3 linked regions of the Xenopus tropicalis genome follow. The protein of the gene in region 2 interacts with the protein of the main gene of each other region in a pairwise test. Links are inferred from orthologs where the notes say so. Each region holds a gene or a part of one and is shown on either strand. Other genes may lie near its edges.

The links.
Region 1: the proteins of ccndbp1 (region 2) and pias2 interact in binary tests that used the Homo sapiens proteins (3 or more experiments, as listed by UniProt). The two-hybrid records come from large-scale screens. The link is inferred for Xenopus tropicalis from reciprocal best matches to the Homo sapiens genes CCNDBP1 and PIAS2.
Region 3: the proteins of ccndbp1 (region 2) and mrpl15 interact in binary tests that used the Homo sapiens proteins (3 or more experiments, as listed by UniProt). The two-hybrid records come from large-scale screens. The link is inferred for Xenopus tropicalis from reciprocal best matches to the Homo sapiens genes CCNDBP1 and MRPL15.

Annotation. Positions count from the first base shown.
Region 1 is NC_030677.2:206,568,678-206,579,714, forward strand, and holds part of pias2 (E3 SUMO-protein ligase PIAS2), read left to right. Parts: intron 1-3,281; coding exon 3,282-3,753; intron 3,754-8,384; coding exon 8,385-8,469; intron 8,470-9,462; coding exon 9,463-9,513; intron 9,514-9,608; coding exon 9,609-9,699; intron 9,700-10,801; coding exon 10,802-10,936; intron 10,937-11,037. UniProt on the Homo sapiens protein: Functions as an E3-type small ubiquitin-like modifier (SUMO) ligase, stabilizing the interaction between UBE2I and the substrate, and as a SUMO-tethering factor.
Region 2 is NC_030686.2:18,723,774-18,734,910, reverse strand, and holds the start of ccndbp1 (cyclin-D1-binding protein 1), read right to left. Parts: upstream 6,325-11,137; 5' UTR 6,243-6,324; coding exon 6,185-6,242; intron 4,871-6,184; coding exon 4,814-4,870; intron 3,875-4,813; coding exon 3,795-3,874; intron 3,704-3,794; coding exon 3,622-3,703; intron 2,870-3,621; coding exon 2,773-2,869; intron 2,656-2,772; coding exon 2,582-2,655; intron 2,085-2,581; coding exon 2,008-2,084; intron 1,789-2,007; coding exon 1,535-1,788; intron 72-1,534; coding exon 11-71; intron 1-10. Other genes in the region: znfx1 (NFX1-type zinc finger-containing protein 1), read right to left, coding at 10,995-11,137. UniProt on the Homo sapiens protein: May negatively regulate cell cycle progression. May act at least in part via inhibition of the cyclin-D1/CDK4 complex, thereby preventing phosphorylation of RB1 and blocking E2F-dependent transcription.
Region 3 is NC_030682.2:114,998,984-115,010,120, reverse strand, and holds the start of mrpl15 (39S ribosomal protein L15, mitochondrial), read right to left. Parts: upstream 6,392-11,137; 5' UTR 6,275-6,391; coding exon 6,170-6,274; intron 5,095-6,169; coding exon 4,937-5,094; intron 3,529-4,936; coding exon 3,363-3,528; intron 1,810-3,362; coding exon 1,686-1,809; intron 1-1,685.

The sequences.
Region 1 (11,037 bases), on a different chromosome or scaffold from region 2:
CAGTTACACTGTGACAGTGAGGCATGCTGGGCAATATAGCCAAGAGGAGAGCCAAGGGTGGGAATGGCACAGTTACACTGTGACAGTGAGGCATGCTGGGTAATAGAGCCAAGAGGAGAGCCAAGGGTGGGAATGGCACAGTTACACTGTGACAGTGAGGCATGCTGGGTAATATAGCCAAGAGGAGAGCCTAGGGTGGGAATGGCACAGTTACACTGTGACAGTGAGGCATGCTGGGTAATATAGCCAAGAGGAGAGCCAAGGGTGGGAATGGCGCAGTTACACTGTGACAGTGAGGCATGCTGGGTAATATAGCCAAGAGAAAGCCAAGGATGGGAATGGCACAGTTACACTGTGACAGTGAGGCATGCTGGGTAATATAGCCAAGAGAAAGCCAAGGGTGGGAATGGCACAGTTACACTATGACAGTGAGGCATGCTGGGTAATAGAGCCAAGAGAAAGCCAAGGGTGGGAATGGCACAGTTACACTATGACAGTGAGGCATGCTGGGTAATAGAGCCAAGAGAAAGCCAAGGATGGGAATGGCACAGTTACACTATGACAGTGAGGCATGCTGGGTAATATAGCCAAGAGAAAGCCAAGGATGGGAATGGCACAGTTACACTATGACAGTGAGGCATGCTGGGTAATATAGCCAAGAGAAAGCCAAGGGTGGGAATGGCACAGTTACACTATGACAGTGAGGCATGCTGGGTAATATAGCCAAGAGAAAGCCAAGGATGGGAATGGCACAATATGACAGTGTTACCAGCACATTGGTGCCCTCCTGCAGGAAATGAGGGACTATAGCTTTAAGCATTTGGATGTGATTGTGTTTCCTGTTAGTGGTTTGGGGACAGTAGGGCACAGGGGTGTGGTACAAAGTTGGTGATTTGCAGACTCCTGGTACCGACAGGAAGTTGATATATTTATCATTTCGTTCTGGAAGTTTCCATAAAGGGGAAGTATTTACCCGGAGACAATAAATGCAGGGCTGCACCTGTTCAGCTCCCACCTGTGGGCTAGAATGATGGACCAATAGCAACGCCTTACAAGGATGACGTTTGTTTTGTAGGCAGCGTTGCACTCCTGGCAAGTTGGTTCTGTCCCCGCCCACTAGAAATTTGGCTACACGCCGGCACATTGAGCCAAAGAGCAGTTCCACTAGCAGGTTGCCAGTAAGTCTCCAGTTGGCACTAGGGTGCCACCTCCCTCCTTTAATACCGGCCACATATTGAACCCATGGCTAGTTAGCAGTTAATTTAGATGCAATCTCCATGGCTGTACAGGCATCTAAATTACTTGCTAAATAACCATGCAGAATGTGGATTCAATATGTGCCTGGTATTAAAGGGGTGAGGTCAGGGTTGGACTGGGCCGCCGGGACATGGGGAAAAAACCCGGTGGGCCCCTGCGACCCAGACCCGACCCATGATGTGTTAAACTTACGCGCGCTCAGGGGAGGACGTCGGGGGAGGGGGTGTGGGGGACGCGCCCGGCGGGGGCACCTGGGGCGGAAGCCTAGGTGGGCCCTGCACCCCCTAGTCCAACCCTGAGTGAGGTGGCAACCTTAGCTAGGGCAATTACATGTACACATTTGCTGACCCTGTTCTTGCTCCCCACCAATTGGAAGTTTTCACTCCTGCCATCGCCAGCTTCCCAAACCTACCCCCGTGGGGGTAGCCAGCTTCCCCTCTCGCCCCCCCCCCCCCCCCCCCAGTATTGCTAGCTGCTATTATGTATAGTGTTTATGCTGTCATTAAAGGTCACCACTGGGGCCTGTTTGTTATTAGACACACCTCTAGGTCATGTGCTCCCTAATATTATTAGGTATAGGTCACCTTTAGAGTAACTTTTAGTATTTAGTTTTTAGTTATAGAATGGTTGGTCCTTAGCAACGGTTTAATTGGTCTTCATTTATCTTCAGCTTTCAAATGGGGGTCACTGACCCCGGCACTGACTCTGACCCGAGCAAAACCTCTGCTCTGTGAGGCTACAATCGTATTGTTTATGTTCCTTTGTATTCCTTATCTTTCTTTTCAGGCTTTTCCTATTCATATTCCAGTCTCTCTTTCATACCGCTGCATGGTTGGTAGGATAGTTTGGACCCTAGCAACCAGATAGTTGCTGATATTCTAAACTGGAGAGCTGATCAAAAACCACAAATAATTAAAAAAAATGAAGGGCAATTGCAGATTGTCTCGAAATAGTACTCTACTCTACAGGGGTACTCTACTCTATATCAGGGGTCTCCAAACTTTTTTTACCTGTGAGTCACAACTTGGGGAGCAACACAAGCATGAAAAATGACCTTGGGTGCCAAATAAGGGCTGACTGGTTATTTGGTAGCCCCTGTGTGGACCAATTAGGCTCGAAACGTTGCTGCTGCCCGTATTGTGACAATATTCAGCTTTCAAAAGGGGGTCACTGACCCCGAAGCCAAAAATCTATTGCTCTTTGAGGCTACAATTTTATTGTTATTACTTTTTTTACTACTTATCTTTCTGTTCAGGCCCTCTCTTATTCCAGTTTCTCATTTACACTGCTGCCTGGTTGCTAGGGTAATTTGGACCCTAGCAACCACATAGCTGCTAAAATTCCATACTGAAGAGTTGATGAACAAAAAGCGAAATAATTGAAAAACCACACATAATTAAAAAAACAAAGGTGCTCTCAATAGCATACTAAAAGTTAATTTAAAGTTGAACAACTCCTTTTATTTTTCCCAGGCAAGCCATGTTGTTTATTCCAGTTAATGAGAAGCATATACTACTTAGGATTCGGTTGGGCCTGGACCGTGGATTTGGCCGAATCCGAACCCTGACGAAAAAGGCCGAATACCGAACCAAATCCTGGATTCGGTGCATCCCTAATCTGTATAAAGATTTCAAGTTGTTGTTGACATGATTATCATGTGGGCCATTGACGTCAGAGGATCCAAGATGGCAGCTATAAGTTGCTGTTAAGGAATACTTTTACTGCAAAACAAACCTAGCGTTTAGCAAGGGAGCACTAATATTGGACAAGGTGAGGGTTTTTGGATAGGGAGGCGCTCTTTTACTGTTCCTATCCAACTGACCAATTGAACTGAGCAGAGAAGCACCAGTAGATTCCTCCTGTATCATTAACTTAAGCTTTTGCCATTCTGTCTAGCTGTCTGGCTGAACAAAGCAGCAAGACGCGCTCCTGAATAAATGTATTAGTAGGCAGTTTAAAACTGCTAATGTCATTAAAACTTAAAAGAAAAACAAAAAAAGAACTTTTGTCTTTTTGCATTTCAGAATATGGTGTCAAGCTTTCGGGTCTCAGAGCTTCAAGTGCTTTTGGGCTTCGCCGGGCGAAACAAAAGCGGGCGCAAGCACGACCTTCTTATGCGGGCCCTCCATTTATTAAAGAATGGCTGCAGCCCTGCTGTCCAAATTAAAATCAAGGAACTCTACCGACGACGCTTTCCGAGGACCCTCGACGGAGTGACGGGATTAGCGCCCATCAGGTCCAATGTTTTCAATCTGGACAGCAGTGCCCCGGTGGATCCGGACTTGGCAGTTAGTGGGATGCACTCCCTGCCTTCCACCTCCGTTTCACCTTGTTCCCCCGCATCCCCTCTGGGGTCTGTACTGCTGCAGGACACCAAAGCTCCATTTGAGATTCAGCAGCTGTCCCCCTCGATTCCTCCTGTGCACCCAGATGTCCACCTTAAGAGTCTTCCGTTCTACGATGTGCTCGATGTTCTGATTAAACCCACAAGCTTAGGTAAGATCCGAAGTGTATAAGCTTTGTGCAGTGATTAATGGATTTGTTCCCCTCTCAGGAGGGGTGACCAGCAGTGTTCTAAAAATATTCACCTGTAATTGCTAACATGCCAACGTAAGTACCCACTGCCAGTCACTATCTGTTCTAGTACAAGTGTGCTGCTCTACCCCGGCAGTTCTATCTATTGTGTGACAGATAAAGCCCTTGCGTTATTGTCTTTCCAGGGTACTTTCTATGGGAGCACTATGCTGCCAAGTTGACCCAGTCTCCCAGGGAATTTTTTTGCAATGTAATAGGCTGGTACAAAGAATCCCAAGGTAAAACTGAATCAATTTTATTTATCGGGAGGGTGCTTCCTAATTAATATGACTTTCCTTGTCCTAAAGGGGTAGTTAGACTTTCTCCATTGTCAGCTTGGGGGACATGGGGAACGAGGAATAGCATGGTGTAGCTTGTACCACTAGGAGGCAGGACACAACAATAAAACAAGAACTAGCTCCTGCTCCTCTATACCCCCCCCCCCCCCCAGCAAGCCCAGTTTGTTTTTTTGTTGTCTACTGGATTTTATTATTTTCTCTTTATACAGTCAGTTTATTCTGACACCAGGAGATGCAAAAGACTCCTACACAGAGTAGGGTGTCAACCTCAGGCATCTCCCATCATGGGATTGTCTCAGGTTTCTTCTGCTGAGTTTTATCCTTCACTTCTGGGGGGGGGTTGTTAGTGACCCCTATAAACACTACAGTGGCTACAGCACACTTAACTCCTATTGGCTGTGTCTCCTGTCAATCTGACACTGCTTCCTGTGTCTGTGACAGACTGCTGCAGATATATGTTAGATTAGTGATATGCTCGGTCTGTGTGCCTATGCCATTGCTAGGGAGAAATTAACCAATGACCTGTCAATTTATGCAACTGGTTAGAGCGCACAAGCAACCAATAAATTGGTCCAATAGGAAACAAGTAAGGGCAAAGCCTGGCAGTGATAATGGAACTGAAACTGGAACTGGAAGTTCTCAGTGTGTCAGGTTAAAAAGAGGCCACTCCCATCCCTTAAAAAACAGATCAGAGAGACAGAAGGACTGATTTAACAGGAATAAAAAGTAGCTTTTACAGTGGCTTTTACTTTTTTATGAAAAATAGATTTTCTAACACGCTGAGAGCATTGTTGGTGGTTTAAAATGAATTGGACATTGAAGGTGAACAACCCCTTTAAACTTTCCCCTATTGGAATTATTTTGCTCTTAAACCTCATACTGCCACCATTCAAGGTGAATAGTGGCAGTATGAGGTGGCAGGGGAATGCTTGGTTCCCCATAGGGAAATCCCACCACCCTCTGTCCCATTTTAGCCTATCACTGAATGGGCATCCCAGCTGGCCATGGGGATACCAAAATTTGCTTACTCACTAGCTTTTGACCTTGCTCAACAATCCAAAAGCCAAACGCAGAGCTACTTCCCTTTCCAAGGATAAAAACAAAGGACATTCCAGAAATCCTTCTCCCCTAGGAATCTAGCCTCTCACAGTTCAGATCATTGGATGATCATATTCTCATAGTGTCTGTTCTGGAAACACTTCAGAGGTCCCTTCGGGCTCTTCCAAGACTCCAAGGCTCTTCACAACAAGTCCTCACCTTTGTTCCCTTTTCACGCCCAGCTTGACCAGATTAATCAACAGGAATGGGACAAACAAGACGTTTTGAAGATAGTCACAGCTTCTTAAGATTGTATTCATTCTCACCAGAACTCACCGAGAAATGGTCTTCACCATCTTCAGTGGGTGCTGCTGTATTTCTGCTTTCTAAGAACACCAGATGCCTTATCCTTCAATGACTCTATGCACAAGATGCTGGAAGGCTTACTGCGTTTCTTGTTCATGGCCTCAGGCATTTCTCTTTGCCCTGTTGTGGCTACAGCCTGGGTTAGCAGGCAACACATTAGGCACATTGTTGCGAGTGATAGTAGTAGTCCTGTGGCCAGACACTTTACACATTGTTGCGGATCTGATGTATCGCTTTTACAGATTCAAGTAATTGATAGGATTTTTCCAGATGAAAGACGTACAGACATGTATGAGAGGCTTCTGCGTTCTGAGGTCAAATGGATATTTATTCTCGATACACAGCATCCCAGTGGCCTCAATTCCATTTTTCTAGCCTCATGAATACTATCTGTTCTGTATTCTCTCATTTTAAGTGGATTACTAATTTATTATCAATCACTATTTATTACAAATTATTATCTTTTTATTTATTATGGCTCAATATGTATCATATGAAAAATGTGTGAAAGTGATCGTTATATGAAGTCTTGCTGATTGTACATATTATGTTGTTGAAGGTCTTTTTCCATCATTGTTCCAATCATGAGGGTGGGTGCGTGTCTGTTTTACTTTGTATGTCAATCAATGTGAAACACTATTTAAACCTTCCTATCATTATGTGTTTATGCCTATGATTAAGTGCGCACGTGCACGAAACGCGTTAGACGCTTTGTTTTTAAATGGACTAATAAAGACCTGCTTTTAGTGAGACTTCTCTGTCCGGAGCGCTTGGTGAAATTATTGTGAGCTAAATGTGAATATAAGGACAGATCTTTTGCCCACTCTTGGACTTCAAAGAACTCAAATAATTCATCTGACCACGGAGGTTTCACTCGACATAAAGTGTCATACCTTCATGTTCTTATTTTTCCTCCCCATCAGAGGTACTTGCGTTTTGCCTTCCAAAACCACCACTACCAGTTTATAGCCCTTTCGTTTGTGACCTCAGCTCCTCATGTGTTTACCAAGACTATGGCAGTGGCCACAGTGGTGATGCAGAGCACGGGGATATCCATAACCCCTCATTTGGACAACTTACAAATCAAGTCACCTTGCCTCTCAGAGACCCAGCATTCACTCCTCTCTACCATGAACACACTGCAGGAACTTGGTTGGTGCTTCAATACTTGACAAATTCTCCTTGATTCCCACTCAGTCCTTAATGTTCCTAGGGATGCAGTTTAATACACGGGCCAAGAGGTTATCCGTACCACAAGAAAGATTCTCCACCACCTGTCACTGGTAAAGACCAGCCTGACGAAATCAGCACACTCAGCCAGGTTCTGCATGAAAGTCCTAGGGAACTTCAAAGGAACATTCTCTTGGCCTGGACAGGCCCTATCCCAGGAAATTTGACTGTCCCGTTAACAGGAGCATCTCTCTCCTGGTGGCTCCAAACCAATCACCTCTCCACAGGCCGACCCTTCGGGGACCCCCTGTGGTGACTTCTGACAGTGGATGCTAGCCTTTTTGGTTGTGGAGTGGTCCTGGAGGGCCATTCAGCACAAGGCCAGTGGACAGATGCTTTCACAGCCTTCTGGAACTTTCTCCTTGCCTATGCCTTCTCTCCACTTCATCTCCTTACCAGGACAGTCAAGAAGTTCTGACGGGAACTGGCCAATCTCATTCTCATAGCCTCTTAGCACCTGGTTCTTGGATCTTCTAAACCAATCCTTGGCCTCTTCCTCTCCTACCAGATCTTCTCTCCCAAGGTCCGATAAAGCACCCCAATCCAGCCAGCCTCAGTTTAATGGCGTGGCTCTTGAAACCAGGATCCTAAGGCCACAAGGGGTTCTCTGATGCTGCACCTTTCAAACACAAAACTTCGGTTTCACTTCAGTGGCTCGCTTGGAAGATCTTCTTCCTGGCAGTATTACCAAAACCATGTCAGCATTCAACCGACATGGTTCTGGTAATTCTTGATAGTCTTATATATCTGTTGTATTAAAGTTGAAGTATGTTGTTTTACACTCTTGTTTGTTTTTTTTTTTTTAAGAGCCTAGAATTTTAATGAAATAGTTCGTTTCTATGGATGCACTGAATCCCATAATTGGTTCAGTATTTAAGCAAATTCAGTTTCAGGGATTTGGCTGCATACCGAAATCAAGGGTTTCTAACCCTGATTTTTCACAGTCCCATGAATTTCAGTGCATTTACCATGTGCCATGGCCAGGGCCACCATCAGTGGGGTACAGGGACACTCTAATCAGGGGCACCAAGAGAGGAAGGTGGAAAATCGTGATTTGCAAAGGGGGGCAGGGCTTGCAAGGAGAGGGTGGCGTTAATGGGTGGGGGGGTTATCATAATGGGGTGGATGAGGAGCATTACCATGTATGCATGGGCATTTCTTTTCCACTGGGGCCCTGTTCTACTTGTTGGCACGGCTCACAACCCAGCGGACCAGGTGACTGGTGAGCTAATAATTGATTACCCATGGAAGGAAGGGTCCTGCTTACTTGTATTGGATTAGGGAACCCACAGTTACTGATGGCTACAGATAAAATTTGTCCCTAGTAGAATTCCATCAGGAAGGCTAAGGAGAAGAATGGTAGGGACTGAGTTAAAATAGGCATTTATTGAGAGTTAGTGTGGATCTAGCAGTCTAATTTTTCTAAAGTTTTGAGCTCCAGAGCCACAAACACAAGCGCCTAAAATATGTTATTGCCTATGCCTCGTAGACAGACTGCAGTTATTTTCTTTTAGCGAGATGTTTTCCTTTTTTTTTTTAAAGGATATTTTAGAAAACATTTGTATTTAGCATTTTGCAATATGTTCGTGCTCACAATTGCTCTTGACTGATTCTCTTCAGTGCAGAACACTCTTCAAAGATTTCAAGAGAAATTTTTCATCTTCGCATTGACCCCTCAACAGGTGCGAGAAGTTGTCATCTCCAGGTAAGTTATTGCCATGCTGCTTATTGGAATCTATTGGGGTCTGTCACTCCTCTCCCCCCACATTGTCTGTCGCTACCAGCTCATCATTATCCTTTATTAAAGGAGAAGGAAAGGCTAATAAAAAGTTAATCTCAAGCTGCAGGCATACCTTCAGTTGTCTCAGTAGTGTCCTTAAGTCTCCCCATATTTCTCCCGTTCAGAGCCAAACAGGAAGAAAAACGCTGAACTGTATAAAGAAAGTTCCCATAATGCCGCACTCCTGCACCGAGACCAAGTGAACATGCTCAGTTAGTAAGACTATGTGGAAGCTTCCTGCTGATTTGCTCAGATCCACATTTCTAAGGGGGGAGTGAGTTCTTAGCATTCTTGAGGGATGGGGGAGCAGGAGAGGAGAGAAAGCAGAGAGCTGCGTGTCTGTGACACATGAATTACAGACACAACAAATCTTTTGACAGAGAAGTCAGTGCAGCGTTTCTGTGAGTGCTTATGGCTGTATTTACACAGACCTTTCTGATAAAGCTTACTGAGTTTTTACCTTTCTTTCTCCTTTAAAGGTGGCCATACACAATAAGATCCATTTGTTTGGCGAGGTCGCCATGCGAGCGGATCTTCTCACGATATCCCCACCTACAGGTGGCCAATATCGGGCTAATTCAGGGCCAAACCATCGGATTAGAACGGTGGGTGTAGGGCCGTCGGTTCAGGGATTGCATCAACAAGCTGATGTGGTCCCCGATCCGACAGAAAAATCAAACCTGCCCAATCCAGATCTGGCTGATTTCAGGCCAGATTTTGGTCGGGTAGGCCCGTTGTTCATGCCCAAACACGGGCAGATAAGCTGCTGAATCAGTCTAAAGGACCAATATTGGCAGTTGGATTCGGCCCATGTATGTATGGCCACCTTTAGATAGCAATATTTTAGAAAGATTTCCATTTATTTCATATTTGTCATTACCCTATTTCTCTCAAGACCCTGTTTGTTTCTTCCAATAGAGATTACATGCCAGGTGGCAGAAGAGATTACTCAGTCCAGGTCCAGCTAAGGTAATGTTCACGCCGCTATACCACATTTGCCTTATTAGAGTCATCTGCAGTTCTTTATGCCCGCCTACAGAGCCATTTGTTTCTATTTTAAATAGGTTATGTTTAGCAGAGACTAGCTGTCCTCAAGAGGATAACTATCCGAGCAGCCTGTGCATTAAAGTTAATGGGAAGCTGTTTCCTTTGCCGGTGAGTTAATAGACTGAACCGCAAGTACAACTGTTTTTTCCCTGTAGGCTTTATATATACCGATACAAAATTAAGGAACCTAAGAATAATAAAAGTAAGGTGCTAATTGTAGTATTCACAAACCAGTGTGTGTGTGTAAATGCCCATCTAGAATATATAATAAATACATATAAATATATATATATAAATATTTATATATATGATGTGTATAGTAGGGAGTGAAAGTTTTTGGGCTTCTGGTGCTCTGGACACATGGACGTCATGTACAATGCCAAGATGCAGCAGATATGAAGGCTAATTTCACCTTAAAGGAAAACTATACCCCAAACAATGTAGGCCTCTCTAAAAATATATTGCATAAACAGCTCATATGTAAAACCCTGCTTCATCTAAATAAACCATTTTAATAAAAATATACTTTTTTAGTAGTATGTGCCATTGGGTAATCCTAAATTGAAAACTGCCATTTTAAGTACTAAGGGCCGCCCCCTGGGATCATAGGAGTCACAGTGCACACAAACAAGCCAAGGCACACATACATGCTAGGCCCAATCAGCCAATGAATGGGCAGAGTTCTGCCTTTTGCTCCCACACTACTTCCTGTTACAGTTAGAGCTGCATCACTTCCTGTCAGCTGATCTCTGAGGGAGCACACAGCCCATCACTAAATGGCAGCTCAAGGGAAAGGATGAAAAAGGGCAATAGTTACTGATATATATTCCTATTTGGTCACGTAACATAATATAAACTATCTGTTGGTTAAGTATTCATTCTGGGTATAGTTTTCCTTAAACCCAAGAAATTGATGGAGTGGTTTGTGGAACAAAAACCCCAGGAAGTGGGGATAGGTTCTATATGCGCCCCATCATGAAGCTGCCCATTTAATTTGTATAGGATCTCAGTTAGGAATGGGTGAAGACTTCAGTTTGTCCAGGCTTTAGGAAGAGATTTGAATTGTCTGTGATACGTGATGGGGCAAGCTGCAAGAAATGGCTACAAACTCGTTTTTGAGCTGAAAAGCATCAGCACTCAGAACTGCCGTGTATATTCCATTGCAATGAACAGTAAGTTTTTAACTATTTTTTCAATTCCTATTTTCCAGGGATGTGCTGTGCCACCGAAAAATGGCGTTGAGCAGAAACGACCCGGTCGCCCCCTCAACATTACCTCACTAGTTCGGCTGTCATCTGCTGTTCCAAACCAGGTTTCCATTTCGTGGGCTTCTGAAATCGGGAAGGTGGGTGAGTTCTTAGCACCGCCTCTACCCGATTTTGTTGTGAAATAATAACACTAGCTGCTGGTAGCTATCCTCCATTCCAGCTGTAGAAGCTGTACAGG
Region 2 (11,137 bases):
GTGGACTTACATTAAGGCGTACAGTTGCATGGTTCATTGGAGGGTACAAGCTCAGTGCCAGCTCATCAACACTGTAAGGAAAATCCATAGAGGATGAGAAACAGTAACTGCCAGCAGTGGGTTTTAGGAAACAGATGAACATAAGCTCCAAAGCCTCTAGTCAGATGCCATATAACGGACTATAAATTGTACAGTCTTTTAAAATGGAATTCAATAGGCTTACTCTATATGACAGATAGTCATATAGTTGAATTGAAATTGTACATTCTTTTAAAACTGAATTCAATTGGCTTACTAAGAAAGAAAGAAAATTAATATCTCAAAACACCTAAAGGAGTGGTTTCACCTTTAAGTTAATTTTTAGTATGTTTTAGAAAGGTCCATTCTAAGCAACTTTTCAATTGGTCTTCATTATTTATTTGTTATAGTTTTTTAATTATTTGCATTATTTTTCTAACTCTTTGCAGCTTTTAAATGGGGGTCATTGACCCTGGCAGCCAGAAAACTATTGTTGCGTGAGGCTACAGTTTTACTGTTATTGTTTCTTTTTATAACTGTTTTTTTGTATTCAGGTCCTCTCCAATTCACATACCAGTCTCTCATTCAAACCACTCCCTGGTTGCTAAGGTAATTTGGACCATAGCAACCAGAAAGCTACTAAACCCCCAAACTGGAGAGCTACCAAACAAAAATTGAAATAATTAAAAAACTACACATAATAAAAAATGAAGACTAATTGCAAAATGTCTCAGATTAGCACTAAATCATACTAAAAGCTAACTCAAATGTGAAAAACCCCTTTAAGGGGTTATGTAATAAAAGGCACTAAGTTTGCTCAGGAGCAGTAACCTATAGCTATGGGTTACTGGGTAAACTAGGAAACAAATATGGGTAGAAATGTTATATTTTATATACTGAACTTACTGCACCAGCCTAAAGTTTAAGAAACTCTGCTACAGTAATGATTCAGGCCTTCAAAGTTGTGCAAAGGGAGTAATTATGTTGGATTCTATTACGAGTGTCAGTGACACTGCACATACTCAGTGTGCTCTGGGCAGCTGTTGCGAAGCTAAGCATAGGGGTTGTCACAAATCATGCAGCAGAAAAGGAGGTTTGATGTCTTAGACACTGATACAGCTGGGCTGATTATTAATAATGGTATATTGTGAATGATAGCAGCACAGAGCATGTGCTGTGAATCAGTAGAAAAGAAGAAGGGGAGCTACTGAAGGCATCATCAAATTTACAGATTGTCTGCTAAAGGGATTCCGTTGCCTTTGGCTGGTAAAGAACACCATAACATAATGTACAGTATTTCTAGTCTATTCTTGGTTAAGCTTTAGTTCTCCTTTAAAGCCTATTCCATTTATATTCATCTATATGGTAACAGTTGCTAGTCACTGAATGTTGTTTAATGGACCCATAATGATGATACTGGATACTGAAATGCCTAGCAAAATATCTGATTATCTATATCACATGTGACTTTGTTTAAGATACTATAAACAGAATGGTATGTGAAGCCAGTTGTTACCTAGGGCTGACCTCCAGAGTGACATCCACCAGGTCATCTAGCTGGGCCACATGCTCTGCTGTGTCGGCTTTCCCATGAGCTTTTATGGCCCCAAGAATTTTTTTCAGGCAGGCTTTGGATGCTTTCATGAGGCCAAGGCAGGGAGCCATGAGCCTACGATCTTCCTCTGACCAATATGTGTCCTGATTTCCACGTGCACCAACCTCATCATCCTCTGGGATATCGCTGAATGGATCCTCCCCATCTGCTTGAGCCTGAGTAGGCACACAGGGAATGTGGGATAAGAAAGAGGATAGAGACATAATTAAAATATGTAAGATTACCAAAAATCACAAGGATTTAGAGATTTTCCTGAACTAAAGTCTATTACTACAATCAACCATCACTGAATTTATACCATTACACAAGGCTGCTATATGTGCCATAATATTACCAAGTAGGAAAAATGCTTGCAGAAGAGGGGACTGTATTACCTGTTCCACTTCCTCTATGGCATCCTTAACAACATCTAGGTACCCTGATACTGTCACCTGCACTGCAGCAAGGTTATCTGTAAAACAGAAAGGAGCACATTAACAAGAGCTTTTGCTCCTTTCAGTGAATAAAAGTTGTGAAGAATTGGTGTACTATGAGGTGCTTAAGCGCCTGAGTTTTTGTACTGACTGTAGTTGGTAAAAGGGGAAGCTTTTGCCAGATCTACCCTGCAGTCACCTCTAAGCTGGTTAACTGTTGTGCCACCTGAAGGCAACATGCTCTCACTGCATGCTTACAAACACCTAGCAGTGAAAAAATTAGGGGACACAGTGCCAATTGGCTTTAAACCTTTTACAGCATGACAATGTAGGACATGACAAAGTAGTCCATTAAAGTTCTAGTCCCTTACAATGAGGCCCAATACAATATTGCTGATTATCAGTGCATATCATGGCACTTAGAATCGCTGTGCTGTACTCTTGCTCATGAGGTGGATCAACAGTCCTCGATTAATAGACACTGAAAGAATACAGATGGAAAGGTGAAAAGATATTTCTATATATGATGGCAAACCTTTAGGAAGTTTTTCCCACTGGTCACATGCCTCCCATACACTGCCTGTGGATACCAGCTGTGCCTGTGACAGACTGAGAGGATATCAGGAGTCAGAAAGAGAAGAGACAGTGAATAGAAACAAATGTAAAATAAAATACAAATGTATGGGTATGGGAAGCATTATGAATACAAAATTAAAATAGTGGTACCTCTGAATACGGGAGCTTAGGATGACTTCTGCAAGTTGGATGGTACCCTCTATAATGTCTGCCACGGCCTCTCGCACTGTTTTACGCAAGGTGATACCTAGACAAGAGTAAAGATTTAGGGTTCAATGATGGACCATTTGCTCTGTGGGCAGTGTGGTTAGGGAATGCCCTTTGTGAGTAATGTGATCGCAGATTCTGGGATACTACAATCTACAATTAGTTTTGATGTTGGTATATATATATATATATATCCTGATGACGATCCTGTGGTGATCGAAACGTGTATATGGTATGCTGAAATAAATCACTGACCTGATTGATGCTGTAGCTGTGAGTGCTTTCTACTGTTGAGTTTGATATATATATATATATATACACACACACAAAGTGCAGAATGGAGAGCACACCAAACAAGTTTTTTACAATACCTGGGTGCCAGAGCAGCAGTAGTAGAATAGCAATAGAAAGTGTCAGCACTCTTCAGGATTTCCACAATCGTTTTTTAAGGACAGCAATGGGTTTATGTGTATGTATGCACATCATTATTTATAAAGCACTACTTATGTACGCAGTGCTGTACAGCAGAATAGATTAATACAGGGGGTTATTAAAATAATAGAATCAAAGAGACAAGAGGATGGAGGTCCCTGCCCCGTAGAGCTTACAAACTAAATGTGTGCTGGGGTTTGCTTTGAAGGGTTAAATTGATGGACTTTGGTCTTTTTTCAACCCAACTGAACTATGAAAAACTCCATACAAATTACCAAAGAATGGCTGATAAACCTTGAATATACGGACTGCTGAGAAATCACACCGTACCAGATACTAGTCCAGGACACTGCTTCTCACCTTGTTCCTTTGGGAGAGAATAGTACACAGTGGCATCTGCTAAGATAGCATTGAGAAGTCCATCACATAGCTTCTGGCTGCCCTGGGGTAAGGGAAATAGGGTGAAATAAGTTATGTGTTATCCTGAATAAAGATTTCACATAGACCGTTTGTCTGTATGGGATATCACTTACCTCTTCTGAAGGCAGAGGTGGTTTCAAAAAAGCCAAACTCAGCTTTGTCGCTTCTTGAGATGTTGCTTTAATTGAATGTCCTATGAAAAATATAGGAAATAACTGTAAGAGACACAAATAATATGTATATAGCAATTTCCTCACTTCTATACTTTGGGGGACTCAAAGATCTTGAAGAATAAGAGTATAAGAATATTAAAAAAATAAGTGGTGCTTTTTTTAAGCACTTTTGCAATTTACATTAATTATTTCTTTCTTTCAGTTTCAGAAGTTTTTATTACCTACCAATATAATGAATTTTGTAACAGCAGCACCACCTGCTGGTCAGTTCCTGTAACTGTAAGTCAAGGAGATTTTCCTGTACAGTTACAGGAACTTTTTGCATTTTTTTTTTTTTAAGGCTCACAAACCCTTAAAGAGGATTTCCAACAAGTTCGCCTTCCCAGGTGCATGCCAGGAGATCAAGGGGACATTTAATTCATCTTTTTTGACCAGAATGACCCCGCCACCCACCCGACCCCTTCCCCCAAGCACGTGTAAATTAAACTTACTTTCAGTGCAATAAGTAATGACCTTGTCATTTGCATTATCTGCAGCGATTCCCTAAGCACTGGAAAATATATCATAATGTGTATTTTTTTTTTGTGTAAGACACTTGTGGAATGTGTCAGTGTTTACAGGGAATAAATGTTGAACAGATGTTCTGGAGATGATACAGAACCACACCTCGCAGCCTACTGCTGATAGCAGAAGGCTCCTACAGACAGTCAATGACAGAGGCAGTAGATATATAATTCTGCTGCCTTTCTAGAGTGCAGTGCCCTCTGTACACAAAAGAAAAAGCATTTACTCTCTCTATAAACTTAAACTAAAGCAGAAGGCGCATCCCTGTGTCACACTGTACAAAGCTACTTCAACCAATCATGTACAGGCACTACATAACAAATGGAAAATTCCTAGCAGACAATTTCTGTTTTTTATTCCATCATAACGTTACAAGCCTTGTGTCAGTTACTTACCCAGTGTTCCCCAGAAATGCTGTGCATTGAATTTCTCACTCTCTCTGGGTTCTCCATCTACAGAAACAAGGCAAGAGCACTCAGTCTCACTCTTAGGGGCACATTTACTAATCCACGAACGTCCGAAAAGCGTCCGAATGCGTTTGTTTCGTAATGATCGGTATTTTGCGACTTTTTTGAGCGCTCAATACGAAGTCGTAATGGCTATGAAAAAGTCGCGACAATTCACGAAAGTCGTAATGGCTATGAAAAAGTCGCAACAATTCACAAAAGTCATAATGGCTATGAAAAAGTCGCGATAATTCAAAAAAGTCATAATGGCTATGAAAAAGTTGCGACAATTCACGAAAGTCATAATGGCTATGAAAAAGTCGCGACAATTCACGAAAGTCATAATGGCTATGAAAAAGGCGCAATAATTCACAAAAGTCATAATGGCTATGAAAAAGTCGCGACAATTCACGAAAGTCATAATGGCTATGAAAAAGTCGCGATAATTCACAAAAGTCGTAACGGCTACGAAAAAGTCGCAAAAAATACGAAAAAGTCGCAAAAAATATGAAAAAGCCGCAAAATGTTTGTTTTCCAATCCAAATTTTTCGGATACGTGGATTAGTAAATCAGCCCCTTAGTCTGGACCTGAGATCTATCCTTATATTCACCATAGGCTCATACATCATATATTCCCAACAAAACAGACATATTCATTAAAGAGAATCTAAATTCAATATCTAACTGCCCCCATGAAATTCTGGCTGTCCCTTAAGGGATTATTATTATTATAATATCATAATTAGCCTCTTTTATAATTAAACCAGGATTTTGCATAAGCTTGAATAGAGTTTTGGTATTTTTACCCGGTCAGATCAGATGGATCGAGTTCATTTACAGCCCTTGCCATACATACAACATAGGTCATGAAATGAATTCCTGAAGAAAAATGACCAATTCAACCCCTCCAACTTTACTATTTGGACAGTGTGTTTCTAACGTCCCTATATGTTGTTAGACTACAATTCTCAGAATATAATTAAGGGTTAATACACTCTATAAGCGTTAATCCCTTTTAATTCAGATATATAGTGCTACCAATGCCGCCTCCAGCATATATACATCGGAACAATATGCCAAGGTGAAAATGTACTTAATATTTGGTTTCAATGTTGACATCCCTTATATATGTGAATACACTCCCTCAACTAGGGAAGCCAATCTTTCTGCTCTGCTTCATAATTGACTCCGGCTGCGCAATGTAATGCTGTCGACCTACAACTCCCACTTTCATATAACGCAGCAACAAGTAAAACCCAGCTGGTGTCACACTGTCGAGACCTTAAAAGTGTACAGGTGAGTGACTGTCTTTGTAATCACCTCGAAGCTTCCCCAGCACTACTCTTAGATTTTCCGCCAGGTTCCTGATCGACTCCATTTTCGGCGGACCCAACACCGCGAGTCTGCTGTAGCAGGACGAGACTGTGACAGCGTTGCACCAGAGCGCCACTTCCGGTAAGGAAAAGCTTGTAAACTTCCGGCACAGTTACATCGCTTTCTCTTCTCCGGTTGTATAAGCAGAAACTAAGCTCTGAAGCGAAGCGCATAATAAAAAAAACATTGAAACTAAAATGACGCATCTTTTGCTTGACTTCTAATAGATAAAACTAAGAATATGCATTTTTTCGAAGAAAAAGACGCCGAACATAGTCCCCTTTGCAGTAAAAATGAAGCTTGGTGCTAATTTTAATTGAGGTTAATAAAGTGATAAAGATAATTACCAGTCACTAGTTATTAGTGCAGACTTGGCCCTGGCAGCATGCCAACCTCGGGCCTGAGCCTTCCCACAAATCTAGGTCTTAAACTACATGATTGCCTTTTATCCTATACAAATTATGAATGTACCAGTGAATTATACTCCTCTAGATATAGAAGGATTATGCTTAAAAATGTTGTGTTTCTGACTGATTTATTGAGAAATTCCACAAAAACCCCACTGGCCCCGCCCATCTGCATACCTCCCAACATTTGAAAAACGAAAAGAGGGACAAAAAGATTTGGCGCACGCAGCGCGGCAATTTTGTGGCCACGTCCCAATTAACACACCCCATGTTTTTCTAAAAATACTCCTTTGTGCTATACCCTTATACTGTACTACCTAAGGAAAACAAAATAGCAACTCCTACATATAAAATACAAATATAGAGAGAAGGCAGTCAGTTATAAGTGAGTTATAACTATCTACCAGTTTTGCCCCCCCACACAGGGGAGACAGTACCCCCCATACACAGTGCCCCCCAGGTCCCCCATAGACAGTACCCCCCATAGAAAGTGCCCCCACTTTACCCCATAGACAGTGCCTCCAATTTCCCCCAGACAGTACCCCTCATACACAGAGCCCCCCATACACAGTACCCTTTATACACAGAGCCCCCCCATACACAGTGCCCTTCATACACAGTGCCCTTCATACACAGAGCCCCCCATACACAGTGACCCCATACACAGTACCCTTTATACACAGTGCCCTTCATACACAGAACCCCCCATACACAGTTCCCCCCATACACAGTACCCTTTATACACAGAGCCCCCCATACACAGTGCCCCCCCATACACAGTGCCCCCCATACACAGTACCCTTCATACACAAAGCCCCCCATACACAGTGCCCTTCATACACAGAGCCCCCCATACACAGAGCCCCCCATACACAGTGCCCTTCATACACAGTCGGAGCGCTCAGCTTAAGCCCTCTCATCCCGCTATCGCGGATCGCTCTATGAATGTCCCGCATTTCCGTAATCTATTACGGAATTGCGGGACATTCAGGGAACTATCCGGGACAGCGGGATGCGCTATAAAAAGCGGGACTGTCCCGCTCAAAGCGGGACAGTTGGGGGGTATGCATCTGTTCCACTTCCTGCTGGCTGAATTCTCTGGATGTGCAGGGGAGCCGGCGGCCCTCCATACACTGCGCTGTAGGATAGGAACCAATCAGCAGCTAGGCTGACCTGATAGGGAACTGAAGCCGGTCTTTGCTTGTGTGAGTGCAGGGCTATGATTGGCTATCCCCCTCCTACTGTGCTTCTGGCAGGGACCATTAGGACACGCCCACTCTTCATTTCAGACTGGAAGGAGAAGTGATAGGATCTATAGGGAGCTCCAATAAAGGGGCCATTGTTACAGATAGGGTTAATGTTTAGCCCAAAGTGAAACCAGCACCATATATTATTCATAATTGCCTACTAAATTAGCGTTTTTTCCCATTTATCCAATATGTCTCCTTTAAAGAATCTTCATTATAGTGTGGCAATAAAGAGATCTGAATATTTCTTACAGTTTACTGGGGAATTATAAAAATGAACACAAATCAAACAAATCCAAAAGTAATCAGTTTTATTTGCTCACAGAACATGTACAGTAAAATCAATAAGAAAACATTAATGGCTTTAAAAAATTTGCCTTACTTAAAGTGCCTGCCATGGACTGGCTATTGGTTAAAATCAGGTTCTGATAGAATTAACTTTGCAAGGTGCATAGACGCAAAATGCAGAGTCTGCAATATATTAATGTTCTTTATGCTATACAAATCCTAAAATCAACATACCGTAGCAACCAATAACCAACCCTTAAAAACCAACTCGGCGGTTATGATTAAATAAGTCATGGTTAGCTTGAATCACAATTTTTATTTGGTGGCTGTTACTTATTAAGGTTTTCATTCGGAAATTTAGCTTCAGCTGAAAAGCTTAAAAGATAAGGTTGTGTTCTATGAAACAGTTTATTAGATAGATGCACCCGAGACGATAGTATAAGAGACATCATTGCACTTTAGAGGAGGACTAAATCAAATATTGCTAGCAATGCTGTACTTTATATAGTGCACTTGCTGCACCAGCCCACAGCACAGATTCCACATCTCTATAACAGTAATCATCCAGGCCTTCAAAGTTGTGTACAGGAGCTCCCCATTTTGGATTCTGTTAGTTCAATGACCTGTATGGGAATCCTCTGTGATTTTACAATAGGGGGTACATTATTCACTTTATACACTCACCTAAAGGATTATTAGGAACACCATACTAATACCCTTCTCTGACCTCTAGCATCAACAAGGCATTTTCGCCCACAGGACTGCCGCATACTGGATGTTTTTCCCTTTTTACACCATTCTTTGTAAACATTAGAAATGGTTGTGCGTGAAAATCCCAGTAACTGAGCAGATTGTGAAATACTCAGACCGGCCCGTCTGGCACTAACAACCATGCCACGCTCAAAATTGCTTAAATCACCTTTCTTTCCCATTCTGACATTCAGTTTGGAGTTCAGGAGATTTTCTTGACCAGGACCACACCCCTAAATGCATTGAAGCAACTGCCATGTGATTGGTTGATTAGATAATTGCATTAATGAGAAATTGAACAGGTGTTCCTAATAAACCTTTAGGTGAGCGTATATGTGTGTCATCTATCTATATATATATATATATATATATTATATATTCTTTTTGTAAACAGGTACTTAGGGTAACTGACTTCCTTTCCCAAAAAAATCCATCATTACTGGGGAAAGAGTCTGCTCAGTTCTCTCCTCTCTCCCTCCCTTAAGAATACATAAATCTCACTCCCCCCACCCTTAGAAATGTGTGATCAGAGCTACAAAGGCTAGACTGCAAACAGCAAGCCATGAACACCAAGCTAAAATGGTAGCTGCAATCAGAGAAAGATCCCTCGGCTCTTTAATCAGGTATGATAAAGTCTTGTGCAGAATAAATATAGTGTTCTAGGTGGTACTAATATGGCAACTCTATTATCAAAATGACTTTCCTTCAAAAGGGTAAAATGTGGATAATGGATAAGGCTCAAGCTTATTGATTATTTACTGAGCAGAACCTACTTAAGGTAAGGATTACACAAACTGAGAAGGTACAAATAATGTAAGAATGTAAGAGATCCCACCAAAAAGTCCTTATTTAATCAATAATTTCATAATTTTTATTCCATACCTTTTAACGGTCCTGGTTTAGGTTGATCAGGGCGGGGGAAGTTTTTCTGGGATTGTTTTCCTCATAATCTAGCTGTTTTAACAATACACATTTTTATACTATCTAAAATGGATACTTTAACCCAAATGTAACATTTTGCATTATGAAAGCAAAGCTAATTCTAAGCAAATTTCAAACATACATTTACAGAATAGTCTCAGTGATATTAAAGTTACTTTTAAATGAACTCCTATTAAAAACACTATCTTTCCCTTGTTATTCTCTCCCCTGCTTATCCTGACTACAAGTACTATTGAAACACTGTTTAAGTAGCCTGGTCCCATGTAACCAAGACTCCAAAGTTGGAGGACAAATTACTACAGGTATGGGACTTGTTATCCAGAATGCTTGGGACCCAAGGTCTTCTGTAATTTGGATCTCCATACTACTAAAAAGACATTTAAACCCTATAGGAATAATTATACCTTAGTTGGGATCAAGTACAAGGTACTGTTTTATTATCACAGAGAAAAGGACATAATTTCTGAAAATTATAATTATTTGTTTAAAATAGAGTCTATGGGAGATGGCCTTCCTGTAATGGGATAATGAGTTTTCTAGATAACAGGTCTTGTACCTGTATTTTGATTCAATATTACCAGCCCTGCAAAGAGTAACAACTCTGATTTAAATAGGAATCACAGGTTGCCTGGTGCATTTTATTACTTATTCTAATGCAATCTATCGTTAAATCGGTTCTTTAGCTGTTCCTATCTGTTCCAAATTAATCCAAGTAACTACAAATACAGTCCAGTCAAAATATTTCAGCCAGCACAACAAGCAAAGTGCAAGCAGGGCTTAGCCCTTGCGTGTTTATTCAAAATTCAACGTTTCGGGGGCGTACCCCTTCGTCAGGCATGACGAAGGGGTACGCCCCCGAAACGTTGCATTTTGAATAAACATGCAAGGGCTAAGCCCTGCTTGCACTTTACTTGTTGTGCTGGCTGAAATATTTTGACCGGACTGTGTGGAGAGTGCCGACTCTCTAGGCTGTGCACCAAGTAGTAATTCTCTGGAGGAGGTAAGGGTGTGCTGGTGTAAATATTTTTCCTATTTTAACTACAAATACAGGCCAGTAGGAATTTATTTTTCTTAGTTACGGTATCTTATTATTCAGTAGTCTTGCATTTGGCTGTTGAACTTTCAGTTCAGTTCCAAGTTGTCCAGTTCTCTTTGCAATTCTTCGAAATTCATCATGTTATTTGCAGTATCAGACCAAGCTGCATGACGTGCTCCATCCATTTCAGGGGCCAGACGGTTTGTACGGTGAAGGTTATGCTGTGTGC
Region 3 (11,137 bases), on a different chromosome or scaffold from region 2:
TTCACCTACAAATGCTCAGTTCATGGTTGCCCCTAAAGATACAACAGAGACTCTATACAGACAGGGTTTGTCCCCAAGCATAATGTAAACCAGGAATCTGCTTAACTTCAAGGCTAGTGTCACACAAGGCTGATTCTTGGCCTACAGGAAAAAAACGTGACCGAAAATCTTCCCCCACCCCCACCGGCACCAGCCTGCTACCTAGGCTTCACCCAGATGCATTGATTCCACCGGGGAACAGGCAGACGCTGTGGATATCGGCTGTGAAATGCGAACTCCAGCATTTTTTTTGTCAATATCCACCGCGACTGCCTGCATCTGGGGTAGGAGGCTAGTGCCCCTGTAGGGGCTGATTCTGGCCCTACAATTTTCTGCAGGTTTAATATTTAAACCCATGTGGCACTATCTTAAGTTGTACTGGAGACCAACACAGGTGAGTAAGGGGTAAGCTGGGGGAGGCAGGGGGACACATCCATTAAAAAATAAAAAAAAGTGGCACTAGGTTTTATGTAGGCATAGTGACACACCTGTCAAAATTACAATGTGTCACTTTGAAGTAATTTTTCTGACAACTGAAATGGTTTTGAGCAGAGGTATCAAAGTTAAGCACCTGCTGAATCAGCATTTAACATTATATAATATTTTAGAAACCTTCAATGTTCCAAAACTAAATGGTTAAAATATAAATGTTACAGTGCACAAGTTCCAATCTCAGCAGGAGAAATAATTTGCAGGTTAACAATCTTGCTTGCCTGAAAACTTGGGTTCTATACCAGTGTTCTGCTACCTGTAATCTTGAACTGGTCCCACTACCTGCTACTGTTTCAGGTATGGGTATGGGATCTGATATCCAGAATGCTTGGGACCTGGGGATTTCTGGAGTAAGGGATTTACAAACCTTGAGTCTACTGAAAAATCACTGAAACTAAAATAAACAGAATAGGATTGTTTTGCCTCCAATAAGGATGAATTATACCTCAGTTGGGATCAAGCACAAGGTACTGTTTTATTGTTACAGAGAAAAATGAAATCATTAAAAAAACCAAACTGTAATTTATTTGATTAAAATGGAGTTTATGGGAGATTGCCCTTCCATAATTTGGAGCTTTCTGGATAATGAATGCAATACCTGTACCAAAAAGTTATTGCATTTACCCAAGAAACGCTGTGAAAAATGATCCATTAAAAAAGTAGCTCTATATAATAATAAAAATTCTAATAATGATGACGATGATTATAATGATGGGGGATAAGTTATGACCTGCTAGTTACATAGGAAGAACCAGGTCAGAAGATTTACAATATATAATCACAAAAATAGTGCTGATGGCTATAGATTTCTTTAATCGGTGCATTTTAGGACCAAGGCGCATGGGGCTTTTAACTAACACTGCCTTTACTGGGAAAATGGCAGCATTTAAACACTGGAAATCAGAAGGTCACCTTCCATTGACTACAGTAGGAAATATCACATGTAGCTGACAATGTTAGAAAATACAGATGGGTGTATTCTGTGGCAAAAATTCATCAACTTCTCATTTTAATCAGTGGGAAGTAACATTTGTCAATTCTCAGTGCTTATATGCTTGCACTTACTAGGAATATACTTTAGGGTGCACTAAATGCTCAGCCATGGTTAATACATTTCATGCAATTGAAAGAATAAAAATATTTCACACACTCACCCAGACTGCGTGGATCATAGAAACCAGTTGTTATCACACCACCATTTTTCTCTACTGCTGCGATGGCCAGCTGTGAGGCCCACTGCACTTCAATGTTAATTTTAGCTGAAAATATGTCAGAACCCTATAAAAGCATCAAAATAATATGATTGATGAGCTTGGGTAATCCATGCAATTACAGTGCAAATGAATGGGATTCCATTACCTAGACTTAAAAGAAGGATTTGCATGGCAATATTAGATATCAGCTGACCAAGGACCCCAAACATTCTGACTTGTGAGGCAATGCTGCAGAAGCAGCATGTTAATGTATGTTCTCCCAGTGGTGATTTACATTTTCCCAGGTGGAAAATCATTTTAAGGAGATTAATCTTCATGTGTACCGTAGCCAAGTAAAACTACAGCAGCTCCAAGTCATGTGAATAAACACAAATAAAGCATGCTGTGCATACTAACCTATGTCAGTACACTGTACAGAATATTTAAATACCACAAAAATAAATCTACAGTCTACATATAAGCAGACTCTAGTGTTCTTTGGGGAGGCCAAATAAGGACTGTGATTGGCTATTTGGTAGCCCCATGTGAACTGCTAGCCTGCAGGAGGCTTTGATTGGAGTAACTGTGTCTCTGCTATTCCAGCTAGACACGATTAGGCTGATGACACACTAAGAGATTAGTCACCCCGCAATTAATCTTCTCTAACGGTGGTGACTCTTTCTGTATTCAAACAATCTAGGTGTATTTATACTTTTAACCAAGAGCTTCAGGCCAAGGGCATATCTTGGCTGGAGGAGAAGACACTGATCTGCTTCCTTCTGCCCTGAAAGGCACAGTATCAACCTGTTAGTGCACAGACAAGGCAGACTTCAGCAAAAAAGCAACAACAAGTATGCATTTTGGCATCAAAATCTGCCCAAAAACAACCCAAATGCCATGTCTGTCTGTCTGTCTGTGCAAACTAATGTCTGAGCAGAAGGAATCTGTTTTCTTTCTGTCACAGACATGCCTGCTGTGATCTTAAAGGACAAGGAAAGGCTAAGTCACTTGGGGATGCCAAAATTTTAGCCCCCCCCCAAGTGACTTTAATCACCTACCTTGTACCCCAGGCTGGTGACCCTGTTAGGAGAAAACAGCACCAGGGGTACCTGTAGTGAGTGCTTCCTTCTTCCTGCTTCGTTCTGCCAGGACCCCGGGACCGGCGCATGCGCAGTAGAGTGAAAAGCCGACTTCTCTGTTAAAGTTCGGCTTTTCCCTCTACCGCACATGCACGCGCATGCGAACAGGAAGGAGGAAGCGCTGCAGCTACCCCGGGCTGGTGCTGTGCTCTCTGTACAGGGGCACCAGCCCCGGGTACAAGGTAAGCGATTTAAGTCACTTGGGGGTGCCTAACATTTTGGCACCCCCAAGTGACTTTGCCTTTCCTTGTCCTTTAAGCTATATTTAAAAAACTCGTGGTTGTAGAATGATTCAGTTAAATTAACACAGCAGTTGCTATTTTAAACAATAGACATTTTTAGATTATGTTCAGGACAAGTTATGTCTTTATATGTCACAACATAAGGAAAATACAAAGTATATTAAGTCTGTGTGAGTAGAAACCTGGACACTTAGTTATTCAGTGAATTAGGGGAACAGTGATAGTGAAAATACAGAGATAAAACAGATAAACTTTACCTCTTCAACAAGTTGTACACCGTAATCCCTTTTGAGTGGCTGTATTGTAACTCCCCTGGCATTGACAAGCTGTGTTAAGTCAATGGGTTGTGCCGGGTCTATTCGACCCAGATCAATGAGGTACTGGAGACGACGGAGACTAAGAGGCTGGTATTGTCGCCGAAAGCTAAAGAATAATAAGTTACACTGCTTTAATATAAATACGTTATATAAGTTCATTACATTATCCTGGATCCATGTCAAAGCTCAAATTAATGCATATATATTTTATATATAAAAAATGAATCTTACATAATCACATTATAGCATTCTGTCCCAGTGGAAGAATTATTTCATCAGCTGCCCCTTGCTAGCTGTATTGTCAGTGACCTCTACCAATCTTCAAGCAGCACAACTTTCTACATTCCGGCAACCTTTTTTATGATCCATGTGTTAATTTATACAGATTCTCGTGCTACAGTGCTGTCACTGTTTATTATTTAACCTGTATCACATGCCTTATTCACACAGGTTTTTTGACTAAAAATAATACAGTACCAATATTCTGGAGGAAATACCAATATTCACCACAAGATAAATAAATGTGGTGTATTCATGTGTTGCACCTAAAAAAAAAAAAATGTATATTTTCTTTATTTTTTCATTATAAAGAACCAATAGCTGATTTTTTTGTATCCTTTTTTATACAAAGAGTAATAATAATCTTTGATAATTAGACCCCCCCCTCCTTCTTTCCCATTGACTACTTTTCAGAATGACACCTCTGTATAATAGATCCCTTCTTATGTGTAACTAGAAAGGTTGGTTTGGCAGTAGACTGGTGATGTGCCACCATCGTTTTTGTTCTCCCAGGTATCCCCAACACCAGTGCTGCCAAACTTCTGTGGTACAAAGGGCTGGAATTTTCTGGCCTATGTGGTGGAGGGCCTGACAGATAAGAAGCTTTCTGGGAATGCACAGTGAGTCGGGTAGTTATGTATGGGCACACAAAAAAAAGGTTTACTTCTTTAAAGACAGATGGCAAAGCAGCACTCAGCAAACTGCACCCAGCTGGTGCATTTTTATGCTGCTAGCAGAAAAGCAACTAGAATCCTGGGGGGTTCCTAACAACTTGGCGCCCCCATGATTTTTACCTCTTCTTACCTTTCCTTTAAGCCTTTTCTAGAACAGCTTGTTTGGCTAGGAAAAGATTTAAACTATTGCTTCACACCACTATAATGTGAGGCCTTTGTTTAACTTGTTCCACATTCCTATACTAATATTAGTAAAAGCAAACTAATCCATCACACTGTGCACATGGAGAGATCTCAAATTATTCTTCACATTTCCAGCTAGTCTGCTGCCATTGCTCTACAACTTCTATCAACAGCCCTAAATACTTAACTATTGGGAGAGGATATAGTGGGTGATATAGCTCAGTAAGAGCTGGAGGACTGTACAATACTTTAGTAAAGTACGGTACATATCAACAGTGTAGCTTGTGTAGATATGCCTATAAGGGGCAAGTGGTATATATGAAAATTAAATTATGCAGTCAGTTAAACTTATATTGTGATAACATATCAGCTACCTACCTATGTCCTTCATTGTAGCCATATTTAGGAATAACTAAATAAAATGGCGTTTGGCCACCTTCAAAGCCTAAACGTGGTTGATTTCCTCTCTGGGTCTCTCCTTTGTGCCCTCTGCCACTTTTTCTACCACCATGGATACCCCGACCTCGTCTTTTTTCCTAAAAGTTAAAAAAGAATAATTAACAAGGAGATAATTTCTTTCTGATAAAGGGATTCTGTTACAAAATGCAATCAGGGAGTACACACACTTTCACAGTCTGTTTTAACATTTAACTGCAACCAGGACCTGTAGGTAACTATAAAAGCCCTGGAGGCTTCTGGCGATCTACCTATAAACTTCTACAGGGGTTACATAATAAAAGGTGAAAGTTTGCAGCAGGTCTAGTCCCCTACAGCAACCAATCAGTAGGCAGCATTTGCTGGTGCTCATCTGTTATAAACCAATAAGATGTTTGATTTTAATGTTTTACTGAATCTGGGTAAATTTTTTCCTATTTATTACATACAGATATACCAGTTATTATATAATGTACCATAGTGAAAAGCTTCCAAAGAGGGTTGAAGCAGAAAATGAAATACATGAATGGAATGCATTATTTTAACTAATTATACACATAAGGCCAATTTACTAGACAGCTATATTTACTAATTTTTAAAGGAGCAGTATAATCCTTTGCTCAACTTGACTTCCATAAATAGGGATTGTGCTTAACATACTTATTGCCTGTTGTTTTAAATCAATAAACATCAATGGTTTCTGTTAATTTGTGAGCTAAAAAGCTTATTAAGAATTATTACCTGCACTGACTCTCAATCACTTTTCTAAAGAGAATGCGAAATACCCAAGTCCAGGCCAGTTCTGCTAGAATGACCGGTGGCTGATTTGATCAGTGTTGGCAGCTGAAGTATTGTATATTTTATATAAAGCACAACTGACCTTGCCATGCAGACAGCCAAACTACTGGTGCGAGAACTACTGTTCCTTAAGCAGGCTGCACACTGCATACAATACATCTAGTTAAGAGGTTCTGCATAGCTGTACACCGAGACTGCTCTGCACTGTATCTTGTTGTGCCTAACAAGCGATAGCAGCATGCCTATCAGAGCAAACCCCGCAAGGGATCACATTAGCCGCCTGTGCCTGGCATGGAGCGCATCTCGGAAGCATGTGTGCGCAGATATTACAGAAAGAAGTGCGGCTAGGGGAAACAGTATCTGAGCGGTAAGTCTCACCTTGTGTCTGGCACCGGGATTCGGTCTCAGGTTGGCAAGAGTAACCCGCGGCAAACATCTCAGCAACTCTGTAGCTTTCTCTCCGCTGCCTCCGGAAGCCGCCATAGCTACAACCTGAAGGGCATACTGACAGACCGGAAATCACATGAGTGAACAGCCGCGCCCCCTATCGCAGCTTTAGGGCAAGTCATTGCACTCAGTCCCGGTCATTCTCATAGTAATGTAGGTTAAACAGTGAGAATGCGGCATGGGCAGGGCATTTGCTTCTCAGTTGTTTCTTTTATTAGATATGGCCGGGACCCTTCAAAGACAGTTCCATGTGTAATAACGTGATATTCAGGGTCAGCAGTGTAATAATAATAGTTATAATAATAATAATAATAGTGTAACTAATAGTTGTGTTTGAGTAATATTTTGTTTTTCCCCCATTTGTTTTAAAAGCAAACGGCATGGAAAATAGGTCATTAGTGGTGTAATGCAATAAAGATAAAGCTTCTCAGTGCTAGTGCCCCAAAAATAGGCCTTATGGTTGCCAAAATGTTTTTATGTGAGTATAAAGTCTGGGCATCTCTTGTGTTGCCCACTGTAACAAACCATGGGGCTCTGTACCACAGCCAGTCTGGTAATGGTTATGGTGGGCACCTTTTTTTGGAAAACAGTACCAGCCTTTCCTTATAAATTTGTGGTAGTAGTTACTTTTAAGGCCACTCCCATATTTTAAAGTCACACCCACCTTAACAGGGTTATTTACCTATTGGCCTATTCCTAGCAACTCTGCAATTTGCCTTCCTTTGCTACATCTTTTCTGCTTTCAAATGGGAGTCACTGTCCCTGGCAGCCCAAAAACTATTGCTCTGTGAGCTTACAGTGTTATTATTATTGTTACTTTTTATTCAACACCCTCATTCATATTCCAGTCTCCCATTTAACCCATTGCCTGGTTTATAAGCTAAAGACATGTAGGGGATCAGAGAACTCTTTCCCGTGTTTCTCAGTCTGTGATATCATCCCACCCGGCTACAGACTGGGGAGCAACCCGATTGGCTGGATGCCCCAGTGCACTGTTGGGAGAGAAAGGCGTGTCTAGGTTTGGAGCCAAAAATCAGTGGCGGGCCCAGCAGCTTATATAGGGAGCCCCTGTTGGTTTGCCAGAGTTAAGACAGAGAGATCCAGTAAACAGTGACTGTGACGCTAAAGGGAATTGCTGCTGAGTGCCAGCCTGTAAAGTGAGATCTGCTACACAGCGGTTGGATGCCTTTACGACCTGGGATCCCCAGTGAGTGATCTATCTGAGGGAAGATATTGAAAGTCTGTGTGTGTCCCCTGGGTGAGGACAGGTGTTTTTCGTGGCCTGCTACTTGGGAGCAACTGCCTATTCCAAAGGGAGAGGTACTTTGGGGCAGGTAGCGCTGCCTGGGGAAACCGAAAGAGCTCTGGGGAAGGGACTTTGCCAGCACTGAACTGGGAAAGGGTATTTCCTCCAGGAGTGGAGTGTGGAACTGTGTCCCAGAGAGACTGAGCCAGTCATGGTTAAAATACCACAGGTTTCCAAAGCAGGGTTATTATTGTTTGCATGTTAATGCTATTTTATTTTCACTCCGTTATATAAAGTTGATATTTGCTGCAAACTGTGTGTGATTATTTCCTAGTGGAAATCCCCTTGAGGTGTGCTCCTCAGTGTCCACTAGGTGGAGGCACTGCGCTAAAATACCAGTCCCAGTACCTTTTATCTGCATTAGGGAACCAAATCTCCTGCACTAAGCAAGTAATACAGCCCAAAATAAGTGAGTGTGCCAAGAAAGGGTTACACACAACTTTAGTAACCAGATATCTGCTAAAATACCACACTGGAGAGCTGCTAACAACAAAAAAAATATAAAAAATTAAAACCAATTGCAAATTGTCTCAGAATATCAATGTCTATGTCATAATAAAAGCACATTGTTCAGTAAGAACAGGTAGTACTGGTACCCCCTACAAATTACATGAGCAAAACAATGGGTCCTGACATCACCACCAGTAATATCAATTGTTAATGGCTTCCCAACACATTATACAATAATAAAGGGTAATGGGAACCCTTATACTATATACTTCAATAGCAACAGATAATAGAATCACCAACGCATTATAGTAAGTACAGTAAGAGCACTGAGCAATATCCAGGCCATCATTGGGGGGAAATGCCACTGAAAAGGTGCAATGAGCTGAAGTGGGCTGATCAGGGGCCTGGCCAGGTAGGCCTATAGGGCCCATGATTCTTGTTGGTAACCCTGATACCATTCAACATCTCTGTTGATCTTCTCACATAGTTACATAGTTAGTTACATAGTTACATAGGGTTGAAAAAAGACCATTGTCCATCAAGTTCAACCCATCCGAGTAAACCCAGCACACAACCTATACTAACCAATCTATACACTCACATACATAAACTATATATATACAACCAGTAATACTAACTGTAGATATTAGTATCACAATAGCCTTGGATATTCTGCTTGTTCAAAAACTCATCCAGGCCCCTCTTAAAGGCATTAACAGAGTCTGCCATTACCACATCACTAGGAAGGGCATTCCACAGCCTCACTGCCCTCACCGTGAAAAACCCCCTACGCTGCTTCAAATGGAAGCTCCGTTCCTCTAATCTATAGGGGTGACCTCTGGTGCGCTGATTGTTTTTATGGGAAAAAAAGAACATCCCCCATCTGCCTATAATCCCCTCTAATGTACTTGTACAGAGTAATCATGTCCCCTCGCAAGCGCCTCTTTTCCAGAGAAAACAACCCCAACCTCGACAGTCTAACCTCATAGCTTAAATCTTCCATCCCCTTAACCAGTTTAGTTGCACGTCTCTGCACTCTCTCCAGCTCATTAATATCCTTCTTAAGGACTGGAGCCCAAAACTGCACTGCATACTCAAGGTGAGGCCTTACCAGGGACCTATAAAGCGGCAAAAATACAAGACAGCACTTTATTTGCTGTAGTAGCCACAGAATGACACTGCCTGGAATTGGACAACTTGTGATCTACAAAAACCCCTAGATCCTTCTCCATTAAGGAAACCCCCAACACACTACCATTCAGTAGATAGTTTGCGTTTATATTATTCCTACCAAAGTGCATAACTTTGCACTTGTCAACATTGAACCTCATTTTCCAGTTTGCTGCCCAGTTTTCCAATTTTGTCAAATCGCTCTGCAAAGCGGCAGCATCCTGCATGGAACTTATAGTTTTGCACAATTTAGTGTCATCAGCAAAAATAGAAACAGTACTGTCTATGCCCACCTCCAGGTCATTAATAAACAAGTTAAAAAGCAAAGGACCAAGGACTGACCCCTGCGGTACTCCACTAACCACACTGGCCCAATTAGAAAATGTTCCATTTACCACCACTCTTTGTACTCTATCCTTCAGCCAGTTTTCTATCCAATTACAAATATTATGTTCTAGGCCAATATTCCTCAATTTGATCATTAACCTTCTGTGAGGTACTGTATCAAACGCTTTAGCAAAATCTAAGTAGATGACATCAACTGCCATTCCAGCATCAAGGTTCCTGCTCACCTCCTCATAAAAGGCAACTAAATTAGTCTGGCAAGATCTGTTACGCATAAAACCATGCTGGCACAAACTAATAGTATTGTGAACTGCAATGTATTCAACTATCCTATCCCTTATTACCCCTTCCAGAAGCTTTCCTACTACTGATGTCAGACTAACAGGCCTATAGTTTTCAGGCTGAGAACGAGATCCCTTTTTAAATAATGGCACCACATTAGCAATCCGCCAGTCTCTCGGCACCATGCCAAACCTCAACGAATCCTGAAAAATTATGTGAAGAGGCTTGGCAATCACAGCGCTCAATCCCATCCGGTCCTGGACCTTTGTTTACCTTTACATGTTCAAGTCTCTTTTGAATTTCCTCCTGAGTGACCCACGCGTCAGTAGCTAAATTACTAGCACTGGGTAAATTAAAAGGGAAGCCTTCATTATCTGGCTCCTCAGATGTATAGACAGATGAAAAATAAGAGTTCAAAATTTCTGCTTTTTCCCCGTTCTCATCAACCAATGTACCCCCCCGTGATAATAAAGTTCCCACCCCTTCTTGCTTCATTTTTTTACTATTCACATAATTAAAAAATAATTTTGGATTCTTTTTACTCCTTGCTGCAATATCCCTTTCCATCTCTATTTTAGCTTGCTTGATAGCTGTTTTGCATGCTTTATTTGCTTCCTTGTACCTGATGAAAGTTTCCGCTGTCCCAGCTAACTTGAATGCTTTAAAAGCACGTTTTTTATTACCAACCTCGACCTTAACTCTTTTATTCAGCCATAAAGGTTTTGCTTTGCGATGCCTCTCCTTGCTTACAAGGGGAAGCGTTGCCAGTAGACACGAAGCATGATAGTTCAAAGAGGGACTATAAATTGTACAGTATCAGCATTTTGGCCTCTTAGAGGCAGTGCTTCAGAACTGACAATACATGGCAGGTAAGAGGTTAATTTCCATAAATGTAAGGTCTGGTGCAAAACATTAAATAAATCACAAGTAATAAGTTAAATGCAAAACATTAAATCAATTACAAACCCCAAAAATGTTAAATTAAAACCATTACAAAGTGTCTCAGAATATCAATAATCTACATGCAAACATTTAGGGGCTGATTTATTATTTGGTTCCTAAAACTCATGGGTGGTTTCTGCATCCGAATACCTTGGCTTGCTGCCGATCGTATTTTCTTTTCCCTGAGCAGCTTTTAAAAAAATAAATAAACTCGGCACCTTAAACCTGCTGAGCTTTTTATTTTTTTGTTGGGGGGAGAAGGATCAATCAGTAGCAAGCCAAGGTATTCCAGTGGAGGAACTCTTGTGGTTTTAGGAGCATAAATCAACCTCTGTAATGTTACAATGGACTGCACCATTAAAACAGGACATATAGCCTAAATTAGAACTTAAAGTAACATTGCT